Linked DNA regions of Pelodiscus sinensis. The main gene of each other region encodes a partner of the protein of the gene in region 2 in a complex. Links are inferred from orthologs where the notes say so. Each region holds a gene or a part of one and is shown on either strand. Other genes may lie near its edges.

Evidence for each region. Proteins that work in one complex are often made in the same cells at the same time.
Region 1: GTF2H3 (region 2) and GTF2B share a complex: the UniProt entries of both Homo sapiens proteins name them as parts of the TFIID-containing RNA polymerase II pre-initiation complex. The link is inferred for Pelodiscus sinensis from reciprocal best matches to the Homo sapiens genes GTF2H3 and GTF2B.

The regions. Positions count from the first base shown.
Region 1 is NC_134719.1:32,367,349-32,374,910, reverse strand, and holds the start of GTF2B (transcription initiation factor IIB), read left to right. Parts: upstream 1-4,458; 5' UTR 4,459-4,579; coding exon 4,580-4,596; intron 4,597-7,413; coding exon 7,414-7,520; intron 7,521-7,562. UniProt on the Homo sapiens protein: General transcription factor that plays a role in transcription initiation by RNA polymerase II (Pol II). Involved in the pre-initiation complex (PIC) formation and Pol II recruitment at promoter DNA.
Region 2 is NC_134725.1:31,220,705-31,228,954, forward strand, and holds the start of GTF2H3 (general transcription factor IIH subunit 3), read right to left. Parts: upstream 3,187-8,250; 5' UTR 3,148-3,186; coding exon 3,057-3,147; intron 2,310-3,056; coding exon 2,230-2,309; intron 1-2,229. Other genes in the region: EIF2B1 (translation initiation factor eIF2B subunit alpha), read left to right, coding at 3,298-3,310, 3,515-3,616, 8,144-8,250. UniProt on the Homo sapiens protein: Component of the general transcription and DNA repair factor IIH (TFIIH) core complex, which is involved in general and transcription-coupled nucleotide excision repair (NER) of damaged DNA and, when complexed to CAK, in RNA transcription by RNA polymerase II.

The sequences.
Region 1 (7,562 bases), on a different chromosome or scaffold from region 2:
TGCAAAGTAATGCACATTTGAAAATATAATCTCAACTATACATACAAAATGATGGGGTCTAAATTAGCTCTTTCTACTCAAGAAAGAAATCTTGGAGTCATCATGGCTAGTTCTCTGAAACATCCACTTAATGTGCAGCAGCAATCAAAAAAGTAAACAGAATTATTAAGAAAGCTATAGATAATAAGATGGAAAATATATTTCCTCCTATATAAATCCAGGGTACACCCACATCTTGAATACTGCATGCAGGTGTGGCCATCCCATCTCAAAGGTATATCGTAAGTGGAAAAGATTCAGAAAAAGCAACAAAAATTATTAGGGTCTAGAATGCCTGCCATACAAGGAGAGATTAATAAGGCTGGGACTTTTGAGTTTGGAAAAGAGACATTAAAGGGAGAATATGATAGAGATCTATATAATCATGATCGATGTGGGGAAAGTAAATAAGGAAGTATTATTTGCACCTCATTACACAGGAACTAGGGGTTAAACAAATGAATTTAATAGGCAAAGATTTTAAAACAAACAGTGTTTTTTTTAACTCAACACACAGTCACTCTGTCAAACTCTTTGCAAAGGATGTTGTAAAGGCCAAGACTATAACAAAGTTTGAAAAACAACTAGATGGAGTATGCCCATCAATGGCTATTAGCTAGGATGGGCAAGGATGGTGTCCCTGACCTATTTTCCAGAAGCTGTAGATAGGCAATGGGGTGGATCACCTGATGATTCCTGTTGTTTTCATTCCCTGTGGGGCATGTGGCAATGGCCACTGTCCAAAAACAGGATACTGGACTTGATGGACCATTGGTTTGAATGTGTATAGCCAATCTTATGTTTGTATTGATCCTTCATATTTTGAAGCTCTCTGCCCCCAGTAGAGGGGCCAGTGATGTACCTTCACTTAATCAACTACAGTGCAATCTATTAATATAACACAATGTAGTTCAGGGTTGATGTGCATTACCTGAGTTTCTCTCAACTCAAAGCTTGGGCTAATTATAGTCTTTGGAAGGCAATGTCAGGAAGAAAAAAATCAAAGCACATCCATCTGATTAAAGCTTGTCAGAAACCCACAATACTTTTACCCAAGCTTACTATTTTATTAGATTTCAAGCACATACAGATATGCAAAAGGCATAGAGCATCCCTAATTATTAGTTACCCATAGTCTGCAGGGGTGTTGTGCAGTCAATGCACACTGTGTAAGTGGCCAGCTATATGTCTGTGGCTGGGGATTCCAATAGATGTTCAGGTCAAATCCAAATTCCTCAGACTTATCTACCATTTTTATGTTAGTAACTGCTACAATTACATCAGTGTGTCAATCAACAAAAAACCATTAAGCAAGCAATTTTAAGCCATTGGTCCCACAGCTGTATTTCTACACAATTTCAAGGTATAGCTAGACAACGTTTTTTTTAAAGGCGGAGACTTCAGATTTTTCAAGAGAGCTTAATAAGAAAGGATCATGCTTATTTCTCAAGGTCACCTTCTCTCTTTTGCCCACCCCAATCTATTTAGTTATGTGAAGGCTGCTACAAAGGCCTTCCAGCTCCTGTTTGTCAATAAGCATAATAATATTCCAGTACTGGCAGCAGTCAAGGCAGTTTGCTGGGCTGTCAAAATCTTCCCTCATAATATGCACCAGGTGGTAGATGCTTGACCGGTGGGAGCCAGTTTGCAGGTTGTTCTCAACCCTTATCTACCGTAACTGAACCTTTGTTTGTTAGGGTGATAAAAATATGCACGTAAAGAAAACTTTGTCGTGGCTTTAGTCAACCGACCAGTGTTGGTGTTTTATACTAGGTCTCAGATCTCTGCATTATCTTGTATGCTGCACTCTACTGGCAACTTCCAGGCATATATCAGGAGCAGCAGCAATGTCTGTGAGGATTGATGCGGGTAGGCTTATGGCAGTGGTCTCCAACCTTTTTACACCCAAGATCACTTTTTAAATGACAGAACAAGCCAAGAACTACTGCCCCGCCCCTTCCTTGAAGCCTCGCCCTCTCTGTTCTCCTCCTCTCCGTCACTTGCTATCCTCAACCCTTATACTGCTGCTTTTTTCCCCCAATTTTTCTGTAGAAAGAGGTTTTTCCAACATTTGGCCTGTCTAGTCTGGACCAAATGTCAGAAAACCCCCTTCTTTTGGAAGCCCCCTTATTGCTCATGGAAAGTGGAATATAGGGGTGACCGAAAGATCATGTTTGCTCTTCCACTAAAAGAAGCAGAAGAACAAATGCATCCCTGGATGCAGAAGTGTTTTTCTGGGATATCTCCGGAATCCTGAAAAACTCCCGCAGTCTAGCTGTAACCTTGCTTGGTTGAGACAGGATGTATACGCTCTGGGGTGGGAATGAGGGATTTGGGTGTGGGAAGGGGTGAGAGGTGCAAGCTCTGGGAGGAAATTTATATGTAGGAGAAGGTAGATAAGGGGATGCTGGCTCAGGGAGGGGGTGCCAGGCCGGGCAGTGTTGGGGTCAGATGTAGGGTTAGGGTACTAAGCAAGCCACAGACTTCTGGATGTAAGGGTTCAGGAATTTGGGTTGGGGTATGTGAGGGGCTCAGGGCAGGGGGTTCCAGTGTATGATAGGCTCATATGTAGGGTCTGGGGGAAAGGGGAGTGCTGGAGTGTTATGATGCTGTGGCCAGATGGGGGCTTGGCCCCAATTTGGGGTTTGTTGGCCAGGCTTCATTTTTAAATAAAATACTATGTCAAACAAAAAGTTTCTGCATTGTCTTTATTTCTGAGAAGGGCAGGGAACCTGTTTTGAGTCAGGGGTCACTGACCCAAGAAAAGTCAGTTGGGGCCACACAAGTGAGATGCAACCCCCCCCCCCCTCCAAGCTTCATTAATGTGGCCCCAACTGTGTTGGTAGGAACAGGGGACATAGTACTGGGGAAGGATGCTAGTGCTTTGGCAGGGGACAAGGTGCCAGTGGGAACAGAGTTCTGTGGCTGGGGGCAGGGGAAAGGGAACAGGGTGCTGGGAGGGCAGAAGACAGGGTTCTGCAGCAGGGGACAGAGAGCCAGTGGGAACAGGTTTCTGCAGCTGGGGAAACCCTGCGCACGCCTGCTCCAGGACCGAAACCCTGCATGCACCTGCCCCAGGGCCGAAACACCTCCCCCCCCCAGACCAGGGAAACCCTGTGCGCACTTGCCCCAGGGCAGACTCACCCCTCCTGCGCTGGTGCAGGGAAGTCGTGGTGCTCCTCTTCCAGGGCCAACCCAACCCCCTCCCGCAGCGCGCCTGGCAGAGCAGCCAGCGTGTTTCCGGAACCCCCGGAAGTGGCGCAAAGCTGCAGGACTTCCGTCCACCCGTGGGAAGCTGGCACTACCTCCATTTTTGCAGGAGGTAGGTAGTGGGGCTTCTCGGGGGTGGGAGGAAAATGGGGGGAGGGCCCGGACACCTCACAATCAACTGGTTGAGGCCTCACGATTGATCTGTTGGTGACCATGGGCTTACAGCATCCTGCAATATAGCAGCAGATGGCATTGAGTACAAGGGTTAGCTTCCTTTGTGTGAGAAGATTGTGCCCAGGATACTGCAAAGGTCTATTCAAGGGAAAAGTAGCAAGAGGGCCAGTGCCAGAGGTGTCAAGTGATATGGACCCACGCTGAGTGGGCACCAGGAACATTCCTGGCTTGGGAGCTCTGCTGCAGCAGTTTGGGGCTGGGTCTTCCCCCCCAACCTCACCTGTACAATTTAAAATGGCCTGGAGGCCTTGTCTGCCACCCCCGGCAGCACCGCAGGGCTAGAACAGCTTCCTACCGCTTGCCTAGCGGCGGACACATCCCAGTGGTCTTTGCATGGCAACCCTAGCCTCAATGCCCCTATGCCCATTGGGAGCTGTGGGGCAGAGCCTGAGAGCAGAGGCATGTGAGATACCTTGTCACACCCTCTCCCAGGAGCCATGCCAGAGGGGCGTATCCCAGTAAGTGCTGCATTCCCACCTCAACCTGCCACCTAGAGCCTGCACCCCCGCCTCCTCCCCTGCATTGCCCCTCCTGCCCCAAACTCCCCCCCAGAGCCTGTATTATTCCTCCCCTCCTCCTGCACCTCCGCCCCAGCCCAGAGCCTGCACCCACAGTCCCTCCCAGAGCCCAGCCCAGAGCCTCCTGCCCCGCCCAGAGCCGTAGGCAGGTGGGGGAGGGGCCGGGCCCTGTTCTGGGCGCCGCCCACAATTCTACAGGCTGTGGCCGCTGGTCACCGGGGCTACAACGCTGAGCACGAGCCCCCACTGGGCAGGGTCCCCGCGGGGCAGCGGCGCGCCCTGGGAATGGAAAAGGAACCTGGCCCAGACTCCAGAGGCCGGGCACAGAGCCGCTGTAACGCCCCGCCCGCCGGCGCGCAGCTCCCCACGCTGCTGTTGCCGTCTCCCGGCACTTACGTTAAGGCAGCTGAACGCGAACCCTTCTGGTTTGTCCCTTTGCGCAGCCTGTAGCGACCGCCTGGCAGAGCCCCGCCTTCCGTGTCGGAGGAGATATAAGGGGGTAGGCTGCGTGCGCCTGACCCAGACCTGGACGGAGACAGGGACGAGGAAGGAAGGAAGGAAGGAAGGAAGGAACGAACATGGCGTCTACCAGCCGGTGAGGGGAGCGGGCGGCCTAGGGCCCCTGGGGGTCTCTGGCCGGGATTCCGGGCTGTCGGCCGGGGCGAGAAAATGGCCGCGTCGCTCCGCAGATTCAGCTCCCGGGTCAGCAACGCTGAACCCCCCCCCTCCCCCCCAGCTGCTATTTCGGGTCCTGGTTCCTGCCTGTCAGTCCCGATCCCTCCCCCCCCCCCCGGACCCTTCGCTCTCCCCGGGCCCTTTCTCCGCTCCCGGGGGGGGGGGCTTTGATCTCCTCGCTGTGGCGCCCCTCTCCGCTCCCAAGGGCTCCGTAGCCGGGTTCTCCGTGTGCGGCCCCTTCCCTCCGCCGCCGCCTCCTGCTTGAAGCAGCGACGAGCGTTTGTGCGCCAGGCCCAGGTTCCGGCCCGTGGTCATCGGGGCGCCGGGCTCCGCCTGAGCTTCCGTTTCCGAGGGTTTTGTGACCCGGCCTCGGAGCTCACAAGTGACGGGGTGGCCGGTGGGCTGCTGCGAATAGCCTGCAAAGGTTGGCCTAGGAAGTCGGAGATGTCTAGGGCGGTGATGGTTACCCCTACAGCCCTCACCTCCCGCCTGCACCTGGCCAGTGAATCCTGTACGCCAGGCAGGAGGGCCAAAGCCCGAGTCCTACGTTCGGGGGAGGGGAGGGCATGGGGAACTGAAACCCAGAGACTTCGGGAGACCTGTAATCTGATGCCTTAGTCGGTTGGCCTCAAGCTTTGGTCTCAAAGCCCAGTAGGTCTAACACTGTTAAAAAGGGGTTGTGATCCACTTTGGGGTCCTGACCTAAGGTGGGAGAACTGCTGCTGTAGGTAGATGGGAGACTTTAAAGCAGTGGCTTTCAAACTCTTTTAACTTGAGTACTCTTCCCCCCCCCCCCTTGAGTTACAATTTTTGGCTGTGTGCCCCACTCCCATACCTATTCCTCCATGCTCAGGTTTTCAGAAGGGGATGGCATATGTATGTGAGCATTGCAGGGGGCCTGAGTCAACAGTGGGCACAGAGATGTTGATATAGACTTGCATGCTGAATGACATTCAGAGTTGAGGTGGGGTGCAAGTGGTGCTCCCTCCTGGAGCCCTTCTGCTCTACCACCTGCACCTGTGTGCACACCCCACTCCCATTTTGCAAATCTCTGCTTCCTAGCACTTTAAATGTTAATTTACATAATTGATCTTTTAAATAAATATGCATTCTGGTCTAAAACCAATGTCTCCTAGAAAATGGATAGTTTGTTCTTACTGTGTTGCTGTGTAAAACTATCGTTAAGGTTAAATCGGGCCTTTCCACAAATTTCATATTTTAATGTGGATGGAAGAATTGCCATGTCTGGTTGCACATCCTGATTCTTCTAAATGTTTCCTAGTAAAAAAGAGTATTTCTTCACACAATGCTTAATGTAACTCATTGCCAACAGATGATGTGAAGGCCAAAAGTATAACTGTTAAAAAAATAGATAATGGAGGCTAGATCCATCAATGGCTATTAACCAAAAAGTCAGGAATATAACCCTATGCTCTGGCTGTCCAGAAGCTAGGCCTGAGTAACTGGATGGAACACTTGCTAATGGCCCTTTCTGTTCATTCTCTCTGAAGCACCTTGCACTGGCCACTGTTTTGAAGACCGGTTACTGGGCTAGATGGACCAGTAGTCTGACCCTGAATGACTGTTCTTATGTTAAAAACTCTTTCATTTCACACCCATTACATTCATTGTTAGGCAATATTCCATTATTCCCAATTTTCCTTCTTGTCATGATCATGTGGAACAGGGTGTCCTCGCTATATGTCCAAGATACCTTTAAACATCATGGGTGTATAGTAAAAGGGTGTAAAGCAGGGAAGTGTATGTGTGTCTGTCAGTCAGTCAGTAAAAAAAAAAAAGCTAGTATGGAACCAATGTATACCGGGGCAATTTATAGCAGGAATGCCCTGTATCAGTAGGCTCCTGATTTGGCCAGATTAGCAGTACTGACAACTACATCTGATTAGTCTTTGGGTTCTTGCCACAATTTTCCCTTTTAGACATTTATCAGCAGAGGTTAGTGATTGATTGGTCTCTATGCCTGAACTATCTTCTTTCTTCATTATGGGTGGAGAGAGTGCTTTCAAACCAGGACTAAAGGTACTGTGATGGGTCAAACTATTTCCTCTGCTGTATCTGCTCTAGAGTTAGTAAACATTTTCCAGTGTTATCACAACTTGTAGCAGGAGTAAAGTAAATGCCAAGCTTTGAGTAAACATCATGGCCATTAATTTTATTGAAGCATTTCCCTGTACATCATGCTGCTGATAAAGGATAGTCAGACCTCAGATCTGCTTTGTGCATCTACATTCAGTTCACTTTTTTTAAATACGCAGTCAGCTTTGTGAACATGGGATGCTAGAAGATAGTTGTTTTCTAAAACAGTCAAGAATGCACTGCTTACCGAAGAAATATTTTAATTGGATTTTAAAAAATGGCTAGCCAAATGCAGGAGTGACTATTTAGAAAGACATGGTTATCACTGATTTCTGGTAGGCATTTATTTAGTAAGAATGGATTTTCAGGTATAATTTACTATATATATATAAGTGTGTGTGTGTGTGTGTGTTATGTTTGGAGCACTTTACTAAATAAAGTAATCCTTGTGGATTTTATGAGGCAAGTTATTTAAGAATTTTAAACTGGATTTAAGAAATCCTATCTTATTGAATTATGTGTGGAAATCCTACGTAGTGCTCCTAATGTACTACTCCACCCAAACAGTTTGCATATTGTTTGTAAATTACTCAGTTGATTTGTGGTGCACGTTAAACATAAAAGTCTTTTTCTTTCTTAGTTTGGATGTGCTTCCCAGAGTGACATGTCCAAATCATCCAGATTCCATTTTAGTGGAGGATTACAGAGCTGGAGACATGATCTGTCCTGAATGTGGACTAGTAGTGGGTAAGTAGTTATTTAGGTTATTGTGACTCATTCTCAAAATGA
Region 2 (8,250 bases):
GTTTCAGCCTCATTCACACAGCTACTGGCTGGAACACGAGCTCTGGCTTCCTGCTGGAGGGAGGGAGCGGTAGAGGCATGCACATGTCCCTGGGGCTGCCCCTGCTCAGCCTGTGCATGCAGCTTCCAGGAGCTAAGGGGTTAACCCTCACCTCTTCCTGGCTACAGCCTTCTTGCTTTGAGAGGGGGTAGGGCTGGGTGGCCAGTCACACATGGGGCACCAGGACCCAGTATGCTCCCCACCGGCTGTGTGCAGAGATGAGGAGCCCCTTCTCCAGAGCACTTCTACACCCAGCCAGGCTAGAGCCAGCCCTAGGCAGCACCAGGCTCTGCCTGCCCCAGCCTCAGACCTGCAGCCTGCAGGCAAAGAGCTGGTCCGGGCAGGGAAGAAATTCTACTCCCTCTGCCTCTCCTCACTCCAGCACGGCTATTCTGTCCCGCACCACCTCTCTTCACTCCAGCACTGCTACCCTACTTGAGTGCACTAAGGGCACAAGGATGTGGATGAAGAAGGGGGGTGAAGGAAGATCCAGGGGCAGGATGGGAGGGTGCAGAGATTGCACTGAGGGGCATGGGGCAAAGTAGGGGATCAGGCTGCAGGGAAAGAATGGGGGGCCAGAGGTTGCACAGGATACTGGACTTGATGGACCATTGGTCTGACCCAGTATAGCTGTTCTTACATTCTTAAGATATTACTGCAACTATTTTATGATGATTCAACAAAAATTAATTAGGGGTATGAAACATCTTCCATATGATGAAACTTTAATAAGACAGGGACTTTTCACTTGGAAAAGGGATGACTTAGGGTGATGTCTATAAAATAATAACTAGTACTGAGAAAATAGATAAGGAAGTGCTATTTACCCCATTTCATTACACAAGAACTATGGGTTACCAAATTAAATAGGCAGTAGGTTTTAAAACAAATAAAAGGAAATATTTCTTCACACAATTACGAATTTTTTGACAAAGGATGTTGTGAAGACCAAGACTATAACGGGTTCAAAAAAAGAACTAGATAAATTAATGGAGGATAAAGTCCATCAATGATTATTACCAAGACAAGCAAGTTTGGTGTCTCTAGAGCAGGAATGGGAAATAATTTTGATGGGGGGGGCCACTCCAAGAATTTGGAAAGTGGTCAAGGACTGCACTCTTCCATGACATTAATGGATGACGTGCAGAGTCTAGGATGGAGGTTGGGTGCAGAAGAGAGCTTGGAATAAGTGACTGGGGTGCAGGAGGAAGTGTGGGGTCTGGGAAGGAGTTTGGGTGAAAGAGGCGATGGTGACCTGGGGCTCTGGACTGGGGTTTGGATTTTAACCTAGGTCAGAAATGGGTTGTTACCTGGGATGCAAGGGTTTGGGATATTACCTAGGACAGGGGTTTTGGTTGTGACCTAGAATAGGAAGGGACTGTAATCTGAAGAAGGGGATTGGGGGAACATAGGAGGGTGGGCAAAGGGTTTGGGTATGTGGAATAGAGGGCAGGAGCGGGGGGCAAAGTGTTGGGGGAGAGGCTGGGGTGCCTGAGGCAGGCTCTGGTCAGGACACTTACTTAGGTGATTCCTGGCCAGCACTCCAGTGGATTTCTCAGGCAACCTGCCTGCCTGTCCTCCCCAGGCTGCAGGGCCGTGTGTGTGTAAATAACTACAAGCCAGAGGGGAGGGGGCATGGTGCTTCATGGCTGCCTTTTATTCAAACAGGCAACTCCCATTGGCTGGTTTCTGGGATTGTTCTGGGGATTTGGGAAACACCTGAAGGCCCTCCCCACTCCTCCCAGCTCAGAGTTTTGGGAGAGAAACGGCCTGGCAGCCACTTTTCTAAGCAGCGTGCAGGTGGGGCGAGGCAAATAGGGAGTCTGTCTAGGGTTTCTCTGGGCCGGATTTTGCCCAGGCCTGCCCTACCATCTGTTAACCAGAACTGGGAATGAGTAACATAGAATAGATCACTTGATGATTACCTGTTCTGTTCATTCCTTCTGGGGCACGTGGCACTGCTGGAAGACAGGATACTGGGCTAGATGAACTTTTGGTTTTACCCAATATGACCGGTCTTATGTTGTGTAGTATTATTCTAATTTTGTATTCAAAAAGTATTTCACAGTTTCTCTTCAACAAATGCACTGCAATTTGGATTGTCATTCATTTAAAACAGAACTGTTAAAAAATTACAGAAAAGTCTTCTGGAAAACTACATTGTGACTGATGCTGGTCAGGAAGCCTTACCTCTGATTGTCCTAGTGCTTTCTTCCCCCACCAGATAGGGTTGGTGTCAACGATGACGACTAAGAGATTTAGTTCATCATCTAAAAAAAGCAATAATAATGCATATGTTTGAGAACAGACAACACAGCAGCTCCTTTGGAAATATGGGAAACTTAACATTTAAAGGTCTATAGGCAAAAATACCAGATGTTTTAACACTCATTTAGCTAAGAGTGCATAAGGGTTTGCAGGATCTTGTTTTTATATTGGCCTGTTTTAAAATTAAATACACTTTTATTTAATAACATTTTAGTCACACACACAACAGCAAAAAAAAGTTAGCACACAGTCAAAGATTCAGCATAATTGCAGTTTTTCCATGTGTTTATTGCCAAATATCCATGAACCACATGGAACAGGAGTAGAACGCATTATGTTACAGTAATGAAGACTGTATTATTGGAAGCCGGATAGGAGGCAGAGGCACTACAGAAATGCATGGACCGGGAGCCTGACATAGGGCTTCTTTTCAGCGTTTATCGGTTTCTCTCTCAACCCCTCTGTTCACAGATCGCACGCAGGTGCCGTTTCCAAACCCAACGCCTGTGGGGCGTAGGCAGCGTGGCTGCCCCACACAAGGGAAAGGCGGTGCTGGCTGCGGAACTCAGCGGGGCTCGCGGGCAGCAGCTGCATCCGCCGGACGCAGCCCCGGGCACGGCCGGGAGGACGGGGCCGAGGGACCCCGCGGCGGAGAGAGGAGGCAGCAGAGAGGCCTCGCACCGGGCCCTGAGGAGAGCGCGCGGGAGACGCCAGCCCCGCTTCCGGCGCGGCGCCTGGCCAGGACTCACCTGCGCTCATAGTGCCCAGCCTCAGGCAGGCGAAGAGCGGGCACCGGCCGGACTTTCGCTTCCGGCGCCTCGAGACGATGTCACTGCTCATTGGTCGCACGACGCGTGATGCTGCAAGAGCCGGCCGGAAGTGGTGCCCCCGCGAGCAAGCGCCGGGCGGGGACAGCGGCTCCGCGTGAGCGGCGGGAACAGACTCGGCTCTTGCGGCTGCCGGGGGCCCGGGCCGCCTGCCGCTGACACCATGAACGACGCAGGTAAGGAGGCCCGGGGCCCGATCCGGGGTGGGGATTAACCGCCCCCTCGCCAGAGCCGCGGCGGACACGTGCCATCCCCCTCCCGGCCTGAGGCTGCGCCTGCCCCGCTCCCTGGACCGGAGGGACCAGACCTGCCCAGCCCCAGGTGGGGCTTCCCCGTGGCGGGCGGGTCCCTGCGGCTGATGGGCCCCGTTTCCCTTCCAGAGCTGATCGAGGCCTTCAAAGCCCAGATGCGGGAGGATCCTGACGTGGCCTCTGCCGTGGCGGCTATCCGCGCGCTGCTGGAGTTCCTAAAGCAAGACAAAGGTACCGGCCCAGCTGCTCTGCTGGGCGAGCGCGGGACTCCAACCCGGGGCCCTGCCCAGCAGCGACCGGGAGATGGTCACGTAAGATGCGCACTGAAGTGCTGAATCCGTCCAGTAGAGGCCAGTGCAATACACATCACTGACCACCTTGCACACAGCTGTCATAGGCTTGGACGGATTTTGTTTATAAACCTGTTTCACCCTACACATTAGGAATGCAATAGTGTATCCGATTAACTGATAAACAAAAGCTTATAGGTTAATGCTATAGACATGCATTTCCCTCCCCTCAGCCTTGCCAGTCAATTTTTTAGCAGCCCTGTCAGTAGTCCAGCTCAGTCCTGGCTTGCGGCAGGTCCGGGACCTACCCGTGCTGTAACTCAGCATTTAAAGCGTATTAGGAGCTGGGTGAGCAGGCAGCCTGGATCATTTTCATCTCGCACTGAGTCCGGGAGCTCAGACCCTCTTGACAGAGGCAGCTGCTGCCCCACACTGCTACCTGTTTATCAAAGGCAGCAGCACAGGGTAACAGCCAGCCAGTCCGCAAGGGAAGCTGGTTTTTAAACTGGCTTCCCTCATGGATGAGTTACTGCCTGGTACCCCACGCTGCTTCCTTTGATACAGAGGCAGCAATATGATGCCAGAGCACATTGGCTGCTGGCCCCACCCCCAAAGACTATATACTTGTTGACTAACCAGTAAGTCATGAGGTTACTCGACTAGTCAGTTAATCGATAGTTAACATCCCTGGTCCGCATATCAACCAACCAAAAAAGGTTTCCATTGATAATTATTAACCTTTAAAAAGAAAAATGCTGCCTGAGAACTTATTCAAGGACAAACTTAAAAAACAACAAATAGTATAGTAGCACCTTAAAGACTAACAAAACATGTAGATGGTATCATGAGCTTTTGTGGGCACAACCCACTTCTTCAGCTGAATGGAATATTAGAAGTCTGGATCCAAGCATAAATAAGGGCAGGGGAAGAAGGGGGGAAAAAAAGAGAGAGAGAGACAGTGAGTAAATATTTCAAGTGTTTACAAGAGGCTGATAAGAACAATTAGCACCTCCATTGTTTAAGTCATTAGGATGTGGAAGTTAGTATGCCAGCCAATGGATGTCCCATTTCATACTATTTGCATAAGAATTACACTTGTAAATGAAGTTAAATTCCAATTCTTCCCTGTGTATTTGGCTTGTGGAATTGGCCTGAAATAACACCGTGACTTAGAGATCCATTAATGAATGTCCAAGCAGATGAAAGTGTTCTCTAACAATTTTTTGTGTATTGCCTTTTTGAATATGTGATGTGTCCATTTTCCTGTAATGTGGAAACTGGCCAATATACACTGCAGTGGAGCATTGTTAGCATTTGATGGCAAAGATCACATTAGTGGATGTGCAGTTAAATGAGCCTCTTGGTGGCTGATGTGGTTGGGTCCAATTGATGAAATTGATAGTATAGATGTGTGGGCAGATTTGGCACCAGGGCTGATTGCAGGGGTGAGGTCCAGGATGATTATGATGGAGGTAAGTTGCATGCTTACTGGAAATAATTTGTTTAAGGTTAGGGGGTTGTCTGTAGGCAAGGATTGGCCTTTCCCCCAAAGCCTCTGAGAGTGAGGGGTCATTTTCCAGGATGGGTTGTAGATTGTTGATAATGCTTTGGAGAGGTTTAAGTTGTGGACTGTAGGTGATGACAAGAGGAATTCTCTTGTTTTCTCTTTTGGGCCTGTCTTGAGGTAGTTCGTGTCTGGGTATTCTTTTGGCTCTGTCAGTCTGTTTTTTTCAGAGCTACGGGTGGGTATTTCAGTTTTAAGAATGCTCTGTGTAGATCCTGTAGGCGTTTGTCTCTGTTTGTGGGACTGGAGCAAATCCACTTGTAACTTAGGGCTTGGCTGTCAACAATAAATTGAGAAATGTGTCTGGGATGGAAGCTAAAGGCATGAAGGTAAGTGTAGCGGTCAGTAGGTTTCCGGTATAGGGTGGTGGAAATTTGTCCATCATTTAATTGTACTGTAGTGTGAAGGAAGTAGATCCCTCATGTGGACTAATCCAGGCTAAGGTTGGTAGTGGGCTGGAAGTTGTTGAAATTCCTGTGAAATTCTTCAAAGATCTCTTTCCCATATGATGAAGATGTCATCAATATAGCGTAAGTGTACTAGGGGTGAGAGCTGAGGAAACGTTGGTTTAAGGTCAGTCATAAAGACCTTGGCATATTGCGGTGCCATGCAGGTGCCCATGGCTGTACCACTGACTTGAAGATACAGATTGTCTCCAAATGTGAAGTAGTTGTGGGTGAGGACAAACCTCTGTAACCAGGTGTGAAGTGCTGTCATCAGGGATTGTGCTCCTGACAGCCGGTAATCCATCTTCCTGTGGAATGTTGGTATAAAAAGCTTCTGCATCCATGGTGGCCAGGATGGTGTTTTCAAGAAGATTACTGTTTTATAGTTTCCTCTAAGTCAGTAGTGTCTCAAAGATAGGTCAGAGTGCTGGTAGCATAGGGTCTGAGGAGAGAGTCAATATAGCCGAACAATCCTGTTGTAAGTGTGCCAATGGTTGAGATGATGGTTCGTCTGGGATTTCCAGGTTTGTGTATCTTAGGTAGCAGATAGAAATCTCCTGGTCCCACACTACTTTCCACATCCTAATGACTTAACCAACCAACAAACAGTGGAGGTGCTAATTGTTCTTATCAGCCTCTTGTAACCACTTGAAACATCTACTCACAGTAGCTACTCTACACTGCAGGCTTCTTGTACAAGAAGCCTTTTGCGCAAGAGTTTTTGTGCAAAAACTACTTGTGCAAGAGCATGTCCACACCTCAAAGCACATCGCAAAAGTGATGTGCTTTTGCGCAAGAGAGCATCCACACCGTATGGACACTCTTGCACAAGAAAGCTCTGATGGCCATTCTGTGAGTGGCCATCAGGGCAGCTGTGCTTTTTCCCATAGGGGTTTCTTATGCAAGAGAGGTTTTCTCATAGGGCATCTACACTTGCCTTTTTGCGCAATAGCTGTAGCGCAGCAAGGAGTTATGCCTCATAAAAGGAGGTTTACCTACACCAGAGAAGGCCCTCTCTCCTGCTGTTTTATTGTTGATTTACTTGCGCAAAAGCGCATTTGGGGTGTGGACGCCCCATGGGTTTTTGCACAAACAGCTGTTTTGTGCAAAAACCTTGCAGTGTAGACATAGCCTGTCTCTCTTTTTTTTTTTCTTCGCCCCTCCTTTTCTCCTCTCCCCCCTCCTTATTTATTCTTGGAGCTGGACTTCTAATACTCCAGTCATCTGAAGAACTGGGTGGCGCCCACAAAAGCTCATAATACCATCTGCATGTTTTCTTAATCTTTGAAGTGCTTCTAGACTATTTATTGCTTTTAAAGTTTTTCCTGCTACAGACCAACTCAGCTACCACTCTGAAGTTATTTGAAAACATCATTCAATCATTGTCTGACACCCCTGTAATTTCCTGCAACTGAAAACTAAGTTGATAAAAACTGAAAAAGATGCTAAAACTACAAAATATTTGCAGAACTGTGAGCTGCAAATTAAAATAAACCCTAATTAAAATTTTTTTTAATTAGATTCTGCCAAACCTAAATTTGAGACACATCTAATCAAATTCATGGTGTTTCAGATAACTGAAATTCAGAGCTTTGTGGTACTTCAGGTGATTATTTGTTGCTTTTTCAAGAAACAAACAACTGCAGTTCATCTCTGCTTCCAAGATCTTGCCTTTTCTTTTTTACACCAACAAAAATACCCCTGCTCCTGCATTGCAGTAAAAGGCAATCCCTGTGTTTTGAACTACACTGTTTTTTAAAATTCAGAAGAGAGTTAAAGATGAAGGTCTTGGAGCAAAAAAGCAGGCTACACCTTCATCAAAAGTTTGAAGTAAGAAACTTGCCTGGTAGATAATGTGCAGAAATGAGCACATGCTATGAGAAGTGTGCATTAATAATCAAAATCTGGAAAACAGTATTAATACAAGAAAGGTTTTCAAATGTATGCGGTGTTTGTTTCATTAAGTATAATCTGCTTCATTGGATGTGTGTTCGTCTACTCAGAGTGGCTAATCATGGCTGCTGAATTACCTGAATAATGTCAATAACTTGTCCTTCAAGTTACAATCAAAGCACATCAATGAACGGATGGGAGAAGTCAACACTACTTGTTAACTGTGTAGTAGTATTTAATCAATTTTAGTTCCTGGCAGTGATATATGTTTCAGGTGTACTTATATTTTTTTTAAGATTACTGTTATTCTAGAGAAAGTTGGATGGAGGGCAGAATGCAGGTAGAGCTTACTAGACTATAGATTTTATCCAAACTTATGGAATCGGTTGTAGAATTGTTCCATGGTATAATAAACTTCCACTATAATCCTAATACATCGAAGGAAAAATACCAAGTGAGTCCCCCATTAGTGCTATACCAGAATATATCTAAACTTCTGTCTAGCATGTAATGAGTATCTTGTTTTAAAATGAAGTTTGCATTTCTCTCTCTCTCTCTCTCTCAGGTGAGACCATTCAGGGTTTGAGAGTAAATCTCAAAAATGCAATTGAAACTCTGTCTGGTGTTGACTCTTCAGTGGCAGTCTCTTCAGGGGGAGAACTCTTTCTAAGG